Linked DNA regions of Arabidopsis thaliana. The protein of the gene in region 3 purifies or fractionates together with the protein of the main gene of each other region. This does not show direct contact. Each region holds a gene or a part of one and is shown on either strand. Other genes may lie near its edges.

The links. The genes of interacting proteins can lie anywhere in the genome.
Region 1: the proteins of EIF3E (region 3) and AT3G04920 fractionate together in Arabidopsis thaliana (co-fractionation; one large-scale study listed by BioGRID). This does not show direct contact.
Region 2: the proteins of EIF3E (region 3) and AT2G44070 fractionate together in Arabidopsis thaliana (co-fractionation; one large-scale study listed by BioGRID). This does not show direct contact.

The regions. Positions count from the first base shown.
Region 1 is NC_003074.8:1,359,040-1,363,012, reverse strand, and holds AT3G04920 (Ribosomal protein S24e family protein), read right to left. Parts: upstream 2,177-3,973; 5' UTR 2,025-2,176; coding exon 1,953-2,024; intron 1,654-1,952; coding exon 1,612-1,653; intron 1,519-1,611; coding exon 1,348-1,518; coding exon of another isoform or gene 1,294-1,347; exon of another isoform or gene 1,151-1,293; coding exon 1,064-1,150; intron 978-1,063; coding exon 948-977; 3' UTR 564-947; downstream 1-563.
Region 2 is NC_003071.7:18,230,302-18,234,656, forward strand, and holds AT2G44070 (NagB/RpiA/CoA transferase-like superfamily protein), read right to left. Parts: upstream 2,330-4,355; 5' UTR 2,169-2,329; coding exon 2,148-2,168; intron 2,031-2,147; coding exon 1,186-2,030; intron 1,107-1,185; exon of another isoform or gene 1,089-1,106; intron 1,079-1,088; coding exon 1,024-1,078; intron 877-1,023; coding exon 796-876; 3' UTR 564-795; downstream 1-563. Other genes in the region: AT2G44065 (Ribosomal protein L2 family), read left to right, coding at 1-67.
Region 3 is NC_003074.8:21,195,910-21,201,062, forward strand, and holds EIF3E (eukaryotic translation initiation factor 3E), read right to left. Parts: upstream 3,411-5,153; 5' UTR 3,165-3,410; coding exon 2,945-3,164; intron 2,847-2,944; coding exon 2,692-2,846; intron 2,584-2,691; coding exon 2,356-2,583; intron 2,267-2,355; coding exon 2,145-2,266; intron 1,825-2,144; coding exon 1,605-1,824; intron 1,526-1,604; coding exon 1,383-1,525; intron 1,187-1,382; coding exon 1,049-1,186; intron 977-1,048; coding exon 877-976; 3' UTR 608-876; downstream 1-607. Other genes in the region: INO80 (DNA helicase INO80-like protein), read left to right, coding at 3,703-3,762, 3,967-4,054, 4,159-4,537, 4,659-5,091. UniProt on the Arabidopsis thaliana protein: Component of the eukaryotic translation initiation factor 3 (eIF-3) complex, which is involved in protein synthesis of a specialized repertoire of mRNAs and, together with other initiation factors, stimulates binding of mRNA and methionyl-tRNAi to the 40S ribosome.

The sequences.
Region 1 (3,973 bases), about 20 Mb from region 3:
GAACGGAGAACAATTCGAGATCAGCTCCGATGAGATGGAGAAGAGACCAAGAAGAAGAGGAACCAGATCCAGATTGGAGAGAAGGTGGTGTGTTCGTTCACGAGGATTGTGATTGGGTTGGGTGGTAGGGGCGTGAGAATCTTCGACCAAACCAGGGGTAGTTTTGGTATTTCCAGACTTAACGTTTAAGACTAGGCAAAGTGGTCACCCACTACTTACACACACGCGCTTCCTTATTTGCGGATTGGTTGGAGCCGTGACGTCCTCACTCGGTCCCAACCACACTCGGTAACTAATAGCGTTTTCTAAACGCGGTTATTTGGTAGAGCGTTTTCATTAACGTGATTAGCTAGGACAAAACAAACAAACAAGCCAACCTAAACCGTATGTAACTAATAAGACAGTACCCAAAACCAAAATAAGCATATGTTGTGCGGTATAGAAAATTATAATTACTGTTCAAATTCAGTGATTGACATGTAATTATCACAGTTTTTCCATTAAAATAGTAAGGAGCAAAAGTGATATAATAAATTAGAAACTTTGCGAGATTTCATAATTATGATCTAAGTAAATTTTCATTATATGTGGGTAAATAACATCGATAATAGCCAGAGAGACTCACGTTTACAATCAAACACAGCCGCACGAGTAACCGATCAAGAATTAAATCACCTAAGGAACAAGAAAATGCTTATATCTGCTGCGCATGGGAATGGTGGAAAGAGACGAGAGAGAGATTAAATAGTTGTATTGAACAAAAACCTTGGATCATATGTTTCTCTAAACTCAAAACATAAACTGACCAAAACAAAAATAAACGAAAATCTCAGATTTCAGTAAACATGTCTAGTTGGAGAAACGATCTAACAGCGGACAAATAACATAAAAGGTGATTGATTATGGAGAACAAGAACCCACAAGATAAAGATTCTCTCTTCAGGATCTCACTTCTTCTTGGCATCACCAGCCTTTGTCTGCAAACATTGATCAAAACAGATTCTTAAAGCTACAGTCACAATCAAAAACAGAAGATAGCAAGAGGGAAAACCAGTATACATACCTTCTTAACACCACGGATTTTCTTCGCCCTGTTCTTCCTTTCCTTAATTTGTTTCCTTGACTTCTCAATCTTAGTGTCAAGTCCATTCTGCCAACCACATAGACAAAGCATGTTTAAGTATAAAGATGCAGAGAACACCAAGTGCAATACGATATAAAGTCCGAAACTTATCACATAGCTTATAATTTTCAGACAAACAGTAATGAGCAAGAGTAATGATTTAAGACGGGTCAATGTGAGTAGCAATATATAACAATGGAAACAAGAGTGGAAAAAGCATTTACCCTGATAAGTCTGTATTTGGGTTCAAACTTCTTAGCGCTCTCAACAGTATCATAGATCAAACCAAACCCGGATGATTTACCACCTCCAAAGTGGGTTCTGAATTTGAATACGAAGATTGCATTTGGATCCTTGACCTCGTACATCCTTGCTAGCTTCTCCTTCAGCTCAGCCTTGCAAAAATAAAACCAACTCTCCCGTTAGAACCTCTCATAGTCTATCAGAACTCGAAATAGATGAAGTAACAAAGTGAGTAAAGAACAAACCTTTGAAACATTGGCTCTTCCAGGGTGAAGAACATCAATAACCTATATTTTCAACAATCCACCATAACTTAGAATTTCATTCCAAAATCTCAAACGGAACTAAATTGCGCCAGATCAATACTATATGATCTAAACACTATCTATGCTTTAACATTAGGTCGTAAATCTGAAAGCCTGACCTAAAACATCAAACCCCAATTATAAAAATTTGACGAGACAACGAATGCATTCTCTCGAGATTGGGTTCATATCAAATTATAACTAGATTCCCATTAAAACAAAACCCAGAAGAACAAAAATGATATGCAGATAGAGAAGAGAAAAAAAATAATGGAACTCACGAACTGCTTCCTGGAGAGAAGTCTGTTGGTCATGAATTTCCTGGTTCGGATGGTGACCGCCTTTTCAGCCATTTTTGCTACTTCTCAAGGATTAAAGTGAAAGATCTCTGCAAGCTTGAGTGTTTTCGTCCGCTCAGGTGAAGGAAAGAGACGCCGAATCGAAGTCGGAGCTTTTATATAGTTACAAGTTCCTTAGGGTTTCTTTTGTGTTCTCTTTGTATGGGCCTCAACTTTTAATTTGGGCTTACTTAATCCTAGCCGTTTGGTTTTCTAGGTTTGATTAATAAACATTTACATGGGAAAATAAAACGAAGCCCACTGGGCCTAAAATATTTATAGCCTAGTGTCACAAACAATTGTCATTGGACATTGGTTAAAGTCTTTGTTTCCCCCACGCCACGAGTCAATATTTTCTGTACATAACACAAAACTGGGGTTCATTAATGCTACGAATTCAGCAATTTTGAGTTAGAATTAACCAATGTCAAACACTTAAGACTAAATGACAGTTTAATGTGTATATGTATAGTTGTGTTCAGCTGATTAGAACTAATTAACTTGTACTTTGACACTTAATATAAACTTTTGGGAAAAGAAAAACACAAACGGCTAAGAAACTTTTATTTTATTTTATTCGTTGTGCTTTGGTGTTTTACACTTACAATGTAGGGAATAATCATTTTTTGTCTTGTCAACGTGTTACTTTTACTATTTAACAAATAAGAATTGTTTGCCGGAGTTATTGCAAAGAAATATTATGAAACTTTTGGGAAAGAAGAGTAATTATTAAAGCTCAAAAGAAACTATTATAAAACAGAATATAATGTTTTGATCTTGTTAAGCCACGAGTGTGTTAAAATGAGTTGGCTTCCACCGCAAAAGATCATTTGAAGGTTGTACTGATCAGATTTCGACCATTCGCTGGAACATGTATAAATTTTAAGATCGCCAAATATATATATGAGGACAAAATTTAATAACACCATCTATTCGTTGATTATTAGTTGCTGGTAGTGATGAGACCCTCTTGCATTATATTCATAATAATGGATAGACACAAAATAATATATTTATAAAGTAACAAGGAAAATCTTGAGGGAAAGATTATAAGGACCGACAAGAAAATGAATGGAGGGAAGATATGAGAAGAATGGTTGGCACTGAACAAGTGTGTGTTGGAGTTGGGTACGAATAGAAGTACGTTGATCTGTACATTCAATACCCACATGCATGTCATCAATTAACGACCATTTTACCATTTTGCTTTCTTAGCCTATTATCTACTATTAAGATCAATTATTGTTATCTTCTTTTAATGGGTCAACCTAATTCAATTCTTCGTATGTCCCTACTGCCATTTTTCATTATCTTTTTTATTCGTTTTAGTTCCATTGAATTTTCTTGACGCGTATAACATAAATTTTCAAGTTTGAATTTGTACAGGGTATATATTATATATATTAGATATTAAAAATTTGTTTTAAAAGTATTATAGCTATTGGTTTTTAAATATACTAAATTACATATATTAGATATTAAAAATATATCATTTTACTTTATTAATTAAATAATGCTAATATATATATATAATTTACATATATATATATATATATATTTCACAAATTTCAACCATAAATATTAAATAAACTGCAAACAAAAATTGTATTTTTACTAATTTACTAGTTTACACAAAATATATAATTGAAGTGTAGTTACTAATTTTACAATATAGAAACATATCTTAAAAGTTTATCAAAAGTTAAATTGGAATACGAAAGATTAATTAAAGAAAAAAAGCAAAGTTTTACAGTTACTTAGAAAAATTAAGAAGAAAAGTAAAACAAAAAAAATGCAACTATTTAAAAGAAACAACAAAATGTAAGAAACAACTAAACAAAAAGATGTATCGGATGTAGCAACAAACAAAAAAAAAAAATTAAAGAAAAAAGCAAAACAAAAAACTACAGAAGGGAATCGATCTCAACATTTTAATATTGTATGGGGCACTAAATGAATTCTTA
Region 2 (4,355 bases), on a different chromosome or scaffold from region 3:
CGGTTACAAATCAGCTAGTGTCAAGAAGAAGAAGAAGCGTTTGGCAGAAGCAGCAGCCAAAATGTGATATGGGTGAACAAGTTTCGATTTTCTTCAAACGTTTCTTTCTTTTAAAAAGCCTCCAATGTTATTTGGTTACGTTATTGAATCTGTTTTTTGAGAGTTTTTTAGGCTTCATGAAACTAGAAGATCTTTGATCAGTTGAGAATAAATATGGTTACGTGTTTACTTTTATTAAAAAAAAAAAATCGAATTCAAACGTTTTCATCATAACAACGTTTAAAACAATGCGAATTTCTTTTTTTTATATATATATTAAAATCGTCGAAATCAAATTTGAGAGATTTATATGCTTATACTAGAGAAAAGGGTCTAAAAAGAAAAGAAAAGGAAACAAGAGAAAGAGTCAAAAGGTTGGAACAATATGATGCATTGAATCAATCCCCACGATAAAAAAAAAACATTCAGCAAAAAAAAACATTCAGCACAAATGTCTTCTTTGACTAATTAATTACCCCAAAACATTAATCAAAAAAGTGAAGAAATCAATTTGACATCTTCCTTGGTCTAAACAAACAACCAACTATTGAAAAAGTTCCTTATAGTGGTTTTTGAAAATTGAAACAAAAAACGAGAATGGTATTCTATAGGGAAAATAGTGAAAGAAGCCCACAGAATTGGAATAAGGAATGAGAATTAGATGTAACAAACAACAGAACAGCAACCATGCCTTATAATCTTGGGTCCTACTCCTCCATATCATTTCATTTTTATTCTTACTTCTATTTTGAGCATCTAAATAACAATCTTTGAGCTTTGAAGCAAGTGTTCTTTCTGATATTCTCTTACGATGACAGGCACACTTGTGGGAGGTACCTGAAATATAAAACATGGTCAGTGTTCAATGGTTTGAGATTCTGAATGAGTGGAGAAACTGTGTTGCATGAGTTATGTTTAGGGATGAGATCACTTGATCACCATAATGCTATGTTTTTAATTAAGAGCCGATATGATTAATCTTACCATGCCATAATCTGTGATTATCATGGAAATGTAATCTGAAGGTGTAGCATCATACCTATCATTAGAAAAAAAATCACAAACGGGTTTAGTGGCAGGCAGAGAAGAATAGTATTAACAGAACATATATAGTTTCACTTGTACGATTAACACAAGCTAGCTTACATCAAGTTCAGAAACTTCAGCTTTGCATTGTTGGTCAAGCCATTTAAGTAGTTTATGTCTTCTCTTCCATGAACTTTTGAAATAGCATTTGGATCACCGAGCTCATTGGAGCATATTGAATAATCCAACTGCACCTTCTCATGGAACTTATAGGCTTCGCAACAAACAAGCACAGGAACACGGAAAGCATTAGCCACCATTGCAACACAAGCAGTGCCAACCCTTGAGTAAACTGTTCCGTTAGAAAAAACTGATGAGGCGCCCAAAAACACTTTGGTGACTTGGTGCATGATATATGATATGGCAGTTATATGAGTGTATGTACAGTTAATGCCTCGTTTGATCAATCTACGAAGCAGTAGCTTCCCTTGAAGCTTTGGTCGAGAATCCACCACAAAGACACGAAACTTTTTCCCGAGTTCATGTGCATGCACTAATATCATCTCAATGACAGTGGAAGATCCGTAGGTCAGAAGGACATCACCGTCTCTTATTTTAGTGACAGCATGTTCGACTATCACTGTATCTGCACCTATGATTTTCTCGTTAATGAAACGTTCAATATCTGAGTGAAGAGAAGCTTTTGCTTCAGATTCAGAAAGTGTTATAGGCAGCTTTGCAATCCTGTTTTTCACAAATCGGATTGCGTTTCCCATGCTAATCGAAAGCGGACGGCATTCTATGAGGAAAGAGACGTAGCTACTTATTTGAGCAGTCATGTCTCTATTAAGGGTATTCTCAGGCGGCGTCGAGTAATCTTTAACAACCTCTTGGAATGCTTGGAGCATCGCAATACATCTGGCATTGCCACCAGAAATATCCCAAGAAAGATAATGAAGACCAACCTGATAACCACAACAACGTCATACTCATTCACTAGACAAGTAACATTCATCTTAATGAGCAACCACTTATTAAAACAAAGAGATTATATAATTGTATATTACAAGCACTAACCATACCTTGTACACAGCAGAATGCATAGGGTCAAGAAGTTACGATTTTCTCAAATGCTTCTTCCTTTAAAAAGCCTCAAGGTTTGGTGACGTTATTGAATCTGTTTTTGAGAGTTTTAGGCTTCGTGAAATTGGAGGATCTTTGATCAGTTAAGAATAAATATGGTTAGGTGTTTCCTTTATTTAAATATCATCGATCGAAATCAAACGTTTTCGTCATGACCACGTTTTAAACAATGCGTTTTTTCCTTTTTTTATATACTAAAACTGTCCTAATCAAATTTGAGAGATTTTTATATATATGCTTATGTATTACTAGAGTAGGGCTCAAGTAAAAATTCGAGGAAAGGGTCTAAAAAGTATAATTCAGAAAACGAATAAAAAAGGAAACACGAGAAAGAGTCAAAAGGTTGGAACAATGCATTGAATCAATCCCCACGATAAAAAAAAAAAAAAAAAAGAAACATTCAACACGAATGTCTTCTTTGACTATTATCTATTAACCCAAAACTTTTAGTTATATATACATTTTATCTTTTTGATGAAACTTTGAATGCTGTAGGCTGTAGCAGAGAACAATATATTCTTCAGCAATATTAGTTTTAAGACGTTCACTGATAGATTAGAGTTAGAAATTAGTCGGTATTAAACCAAAAAAAAACACACACTAGTATAATACACTTGACCGCATAATTTTGCTTCCACTTGAAAAGTGAAGAAATCTATTTGACATCTTCCTTGGTCTAAACAAACAAGCAACTATTGAAAAAGTTCCTTATAGTGGTTTTTGAAAATTGAAAAAAAAAAACAAGAATGGTATTCTATAGGGAAATAGTGAAAGAAGCACATAGAATTGGAATTAAGATTGAGAATGAGATGTAACAAACAACAGAGCAGCCAGCCAGCCACCATCCTTGCAAACTTGGGTCCTACTCCTCCATATCAATTCCTCATTTCATCTTTATTCTTACTCTTCTCTTTAATCTTCTAATTAACAATTTTTGAACTTTTCATGTTTTGGTACATAACCAACGAAAAAAGAAACAAGTGACGTACAAAACACAAGAAGAAAATGAAATTATCTTAATTGATTCTGACCTAAAGAATTTAACATTTTCTCTTTCAAATCTTTTGTAGCAAGGGAGGTGAAACGAAAACGAATCATTAAGATACGTGCAATGAATCCAATAACCTCTATGACTAGCAGATGCATGAATTTTATTTTTGTGTTTCTGTTATGCATCTTTTTAGTTGCTTTTTAAGTCTGGTCATATCTTCGCTCAGACTTCACTGATGCAAAGCTGGATACAAAATCGACAAAAGTATATGTCCCCATATATTCCTATCTTTATACTGAAGAAAATATATACTTTAGCTTTATCTATCGCACTACTTTAGTCTTTAGAGTTGATTTATCAATTAGTTCCTAAATCAACTAATGCACATGATTTAATGTAATTAATTGTCTCTTAATTGTACGGATTAGGTGATGAAGATCCACCGTCCACCATGGCTGTAGTACCTAATTAATACCGTGTAAACTTTAAACCACGGGTATTACTTATGATTGTTATTAGAAAATAACATTAGCTTACCTCAAAAAAAATGAGGAATTTGTTTTTGATTTCTAGCAAAAAAAAAATGAAACCAAAAATGATTAGACGACTCTTTTGTTTGTAGACACAATAAATAATATAGAATTTTTGTAAGAAATTAATAGTTTAGAACAATATGCGTGTATTCAAAAAGAATATAATTAAGAATATTTGAAATGATTAAATACCAATATTATTATATTAGTTTATATTTTTAAATCAAATTACTCAATTACAAAAATAATACATTAGAAAATGATTAATTATATTTTTCTAAAGTGTTATAAAGACACCATTTCCTAACGGTATTGATTTTAGATAATAGAAAACAATAATTTGTGAGGAGAAAGTATTTAAAAGAAAACAGAAAAAGAAAATGTATAACGTAGAAGAAAGGTGGCTTTAGATTGGAGAGTTGTACGAGGAATATTAATAAGTCAAGTTGGTCGAGATATGCATTGAATCGATGGGAACGAGCCACGTGACAACGACATGTGCCGTTTCATCCACATTACATACCTTTTGAAATTATTGCTTATTTAATTCTTCTATCAACATTTTTTTTGCTTATACTTATTTTCTTCAATATATCTCATACCACTAACAATTAATAAAGGCT
Region 3 (5,153 bases):
AGAAACCCCTTTATGCTGAAATTTAAAAGCTAAAATCATAAGAATTTTGTTCCGGATCATGTATAATTAAAGTACGGCCAGTTATCTTCCAATTATGAAGCAAAATCTTATTTTTCTGAAATGTTGTGATTGTTTTTGTTGGCAAATTCGGATGGCGGCGACACCAAATGGAAGTTCTATTCAAATCAATCGAATACGTCTTCTCCCATTTCTTGCGAGAGTTTAATGACCATATCTCTTGTTTCATGTCCTTCCCCTCTGATATACACAAACGGTCCTTCATGTTGCTTATAGTAACTCGACCATCAGTGGTAAATGGTATTTTCATACTCGCTTCAAAAGATCCACTGGAAAGATCAAAACACACTATATGCCATTTCCATTGCATGTTGTGTTTCTATTCTTATGTGGTACTCTCTGGAGGGCACCCACCTCCAAAGAAATTGAATTTATCTTCTCTCTTTTGATGACTCTGGCGAGTTGGACTTCTGGAGTAACTTTATACTATTTACGAATTGATATACTTGTTTTGTTTGTGACCTGTTCTTTCCACTGTCATAGTCTTAACTCTTAAGTTTTGTTTTTCTTACTTCTGTTATATGCTATTATTGTACTTACTATTACGCAAATCAGAGATGCTCAATGTAAGGCAGTAATTTACGTTGGCTTGCAAAAACCTTTAAATGCTTAGGGTGGATACAAAATGCTGATTTGGTTGGAAAATGTTCCAATCTGTGGATCCAACATTTCAAATAGAACAACTCCATAATAATCTTTTTCAAAGTAAAAGGTGAACTCAGAGCAAGAAAAAGAAAATAATTCCAGTCAACCGAAGGTGAGTTTTATCAAGGAAAGGCTTCCACAGCAAAATTTTGACTAGCGAGTTGCTTGCGCCTGTGTGTGTTCCAAGAGCTGATTCACTAACTTGTATGTTCGTCCTGATAAGCCTTTGGTGTGGTTTATCAACTGCTCATGCCTGCATAAAGCGGAAACAAGATTAGATTGTAGAATACGAATGATATCATAGATTTAAGCTTATTCTACTTACACGTTGGGCTGAGTAGGCTCCATGATTACAGTTCCTGACTCAGAATCAATCTTGGCATCAAGCTTTGAGGTGCGGATTAGGTTCACAATCCATCTCTCGGCCTCCTCATAGTTCAGATTCAATTTTTCAGCAAGTACCCTGACAAGGGAAATATAGGCTCGACATGAGTACAAAGTTAAACCACAAGACCGCAACAATTCTTCTCAACTTAAATAGCTGGATATGGCAATTTTCATGTGTTGGGAAAGATAAGGAATAGAGAAAATTCCAAACATTGAGCAATCCGGAGAGCAGAGTTATGTGTAAACATATACAACCAAATGTGAGAACTTACCCCATGTCAATCCTTTGATGAATTTTGCAATAGGTTTCAAAGACGAATAGGCGGGCATTTTCAAGAAATTCATCTCTCAGTGGTACAGTTGAAAAGTTTCCATCCTCAACTCGCTTGCCAAGGAATGGATCATTCACAATGACCTACATCATGTTAAAATGTCAGAGTATTGATTGCACAGTTCTGCACAAACAAAAATATCTATACATGTGGATGAGTTACCTCTTCACACTCTTTCATCTTCTTTTGAGCCCCATCAAAGTCATAATTGACAAACACACATGCCAGGAACTCGATAATTGGATCTTTGTAGGAGTAGTGCTCTTGCTGAATGACCTTAATGAATTCTTTCAATTGTGGTCTTCTCCTTTTGTTGACAATGAAAGCAGTTGCCAAGTAGCGCAGCAAGTGTGGAGCACTAGTTTGGATGGCATTCAGATACCTGAAAAAGTAAATCAAATTAGTATACAGAACTGCAGCATGAAAACAAAGTGAATTATTTTTCAGCAAATGCCCATACACAAAGCACAATCTTAAGAATAGGTCTGGATGAAAAGAAGGAGAAGACTCTAAAACTAGTGACTGCTAATTACTTGTAGGCACATCAGGACTAACATTAACTATAAACAAAGTTCTACACACAAACACCACCTATACATAACTTCATCGCATCTAGATCATGCTTATCTTAAAACGCAAGGAAATAGATGGTGATGAAAGGTATAAAGAAGAGATGCAGATAACAGAGAGGTAGAGGCTTACTTGTCTTGGTTAAAAAGATCAATGATCTGTGTCCTTCCATTATCATGGTTAAAAAAGATATACAGACCCCAATGCATCAACCAAATCCTGTTCTGCACCTGGTTTAACGGCGATGAAAAACTCTGAAAAAACAAATGGTAGTTAGCATATATACTCTCACATCTATATTGATTTCAAAGGTCGCAAACTAGAAGAAGTTTTAAATACTAACCTTTGAGTCAATAATCTCTTTGAGACGGTTAAGCTCTTCAAGAGCAATATCCCAGTTTTGCATCAATATTTCAGATGCGAGCTTTCCCCACAAGGCACTCAAACTCCTCTCAAGGTTAGAGCACAGGGTCCTGTACTGGTAAAGATAATCAGCAGCACCAGAATAGTTGCCACATTCAAACTGAAACTTGGCGTACTGGTACAAAGCCTCAATCTGGTCTGGACCAATCTGATAAGACACCAAGCCATATAAGATTTGTGTTCCACAATACACAAACAAAACCAAATCTGGATAACATTTCACAAAATTAAACAACTTAATCATCCAAATCACAACCTGGTAGCGTTCCTTGAGCATTTGGAGATTGTACTGCTTGTCAGCTCTTAGCTCCTGCACAGCGTTAGGGTTCAAAAGAAAAGACACGAGTGGTGCAGCAGCCTCCTCCAAAGATTTGAGCCTAGCGACAACCTCTGTTCTTCTCTCCACCATTTCTATCACCACAAATTTCAACATTCATCATCAAACAAACAAACCAGTACACAAAAACGCAAATTCACAGACATATCCAGAGAGGAATACACAAGAATACCTTGAGGAGCGTCTTCAGTGTGGTAGAGACTCTTGTGAATATCCATGGCGTAATCAACCATGTTCGTCTGGTTCAAAAGCTGGATTTTAGACTTCAGGATCTGCTCATCAGGGTAAAGCTGACGCTCTTGAAGGAACTCGAATATAGGAAACACCAAGTGTCTGTCCAGGTTAGGCGCTATTAGTGGCGTCAGGTCATAGTTCTGTTTGCTTTCCTCCATCGTCGCTAATCTCTCAATCTCCGCCGCTTCCCGCACTGGCAAAATCTTCTTAAGACGGCAGAGATGAAGTTTCAGAGACGACGAGGTAAAAAATCCTGTATATTGAAATTAGGGTTTTCTCGAATATGAGCTTTCAATATTTATAAATTCGCCCCTTTACTTCTTATATATTGTTGTTTACCCCACAAGGTATTTTTATCTCCAAAACGATAACTTAGCCGTCGTTATCTGATCGGCCGGTACCGGAGGGGTTAAGAAAAAATAATAATTAAATGTTTTTTGTGGAGAGGCGCACGGTAAGAAGCTTTATTCGTTTGGCGTATGTTAGTAGTCTGGACTTCTTTCTGTACCGCCTGTGTCCACTAACTTGCGCATGTTCGTCTTTAACCTTTCGCCCTCTTCCTCTATCATACTGGATTAGGGTTCTTCTTCGAGACGAACTCTTTTTCTTTCTCGTGACGAATGTTTCTGTCTAGAAGCTTTTAAGGATTAAGACTCTCCAAAATTTTGACGCCGTGTTATTCTCTTCCCGTCTCTCATGGATCCTTCAAGACGACCACCGAAGGACTCTCCTTACGCGAATCTATTCGATCTCGAGGTCTGTTAGGTCTCAATTTTTTTGTGATTTCCTTGAAATTGATGGTTTGTACTTGTTGGATGATGATCATGTGACTGTGATGAATGTAGTTTTGGTGATTGGAAATCTTGCAATTGTATAGCTTCTCCTTGTTTCTACAGTGTGTTTTTGTTTTACTGTTGAAATTCAGTGTGGGTTTTGTGGCTAAATTCTTCATTCTTGCAGCCGTTGATGAAGTTTAGAATTCCGAAACCTGAAGATGAAGTTGATTATTATGGGAGTAGTAGCCAGGATGAAAGTAGAAGCACTCAAGGTACAGTTTTTAATTGGTTTTATGGAATTACTTTTGCCACCTACTGTGATAGTTTTAAGTGACGTTTATCTGTGTTCTGTCTATATGGTTGGTAATGGTTAAAGGTGGGGTAGTGGCAAACTACAGCAATGGGTCTAAATCGAGAATGAATGCGAGCTCCAAGAAGAGAAAGCGGTGGACAGAAGCTGAGGATGCAGAGGACGATGATGATCTCTACAATCAACATGTTACTGAGGAGCACTACCGATCAATGCTTGGGGAGCATGTACAAAAATTCAAAAATAGGTCCAAGGAGACTCAAGGGAATCCTCCTCATCTGATGGGTTTTCCGGTGCTAAAGAGCAATGTGGGCAGTTACAGAGGTAGGAAACCAGGGAATGATTACCATGGGAGGTTCTATGACATGGACAACTCTCCAAATTTTGCAGCTGATGTGACCCCACATAGGCGAGGAAGCTACCATGATCGTGATATTACACCCAAGTATGTTGATCATATGTTTTTTCATGTTCCATGGGATCCGTGTAACCCTGTGTAATCCGCTTAGATAACTTACGGTGTTGGGTTTCCTAGATTGACACGTTGAATTTTGCATCATTTGCAGGATAGCATATGAACCTTCGTATTTGGACATTGGTGATGGTGTCATCTACAAAATCCCCCCAAGTTATGACAAGCTGGTGGCATCATTAAACTTACCGAGCTTTTCAGACATTCATGTGGAAGAATTTTACTTGAAAGGAACTCTGGATCTGAGATCATTAGCAGAACTGATGGCAAGTGATAAAAGGTCTGGAGTAAGAAGCCGTAATGGAATGGGTGAGCCTCGACCTCAATATGAATCTCTTCAAGCTAGAATGAAGGCCCTGTCACCTTCAAACTCCACCCCAAATTTTAGCCTCAAGGTGTCAGAAGCTGCAATGAATTCTGCCATTCCAGAAGGATCTGCTGGAAGTACTGCACGGACAATTCTGTCTGAGGGTGGTGTTTTACAGGTCCATTACGTGAAGATTCTGGAGAAGGGGGATACATACGAGGTTTGGATTCTGTGGCAGTATTTTATGAATCATAGTTTTGAATCCTTCATGGCTCATTCATG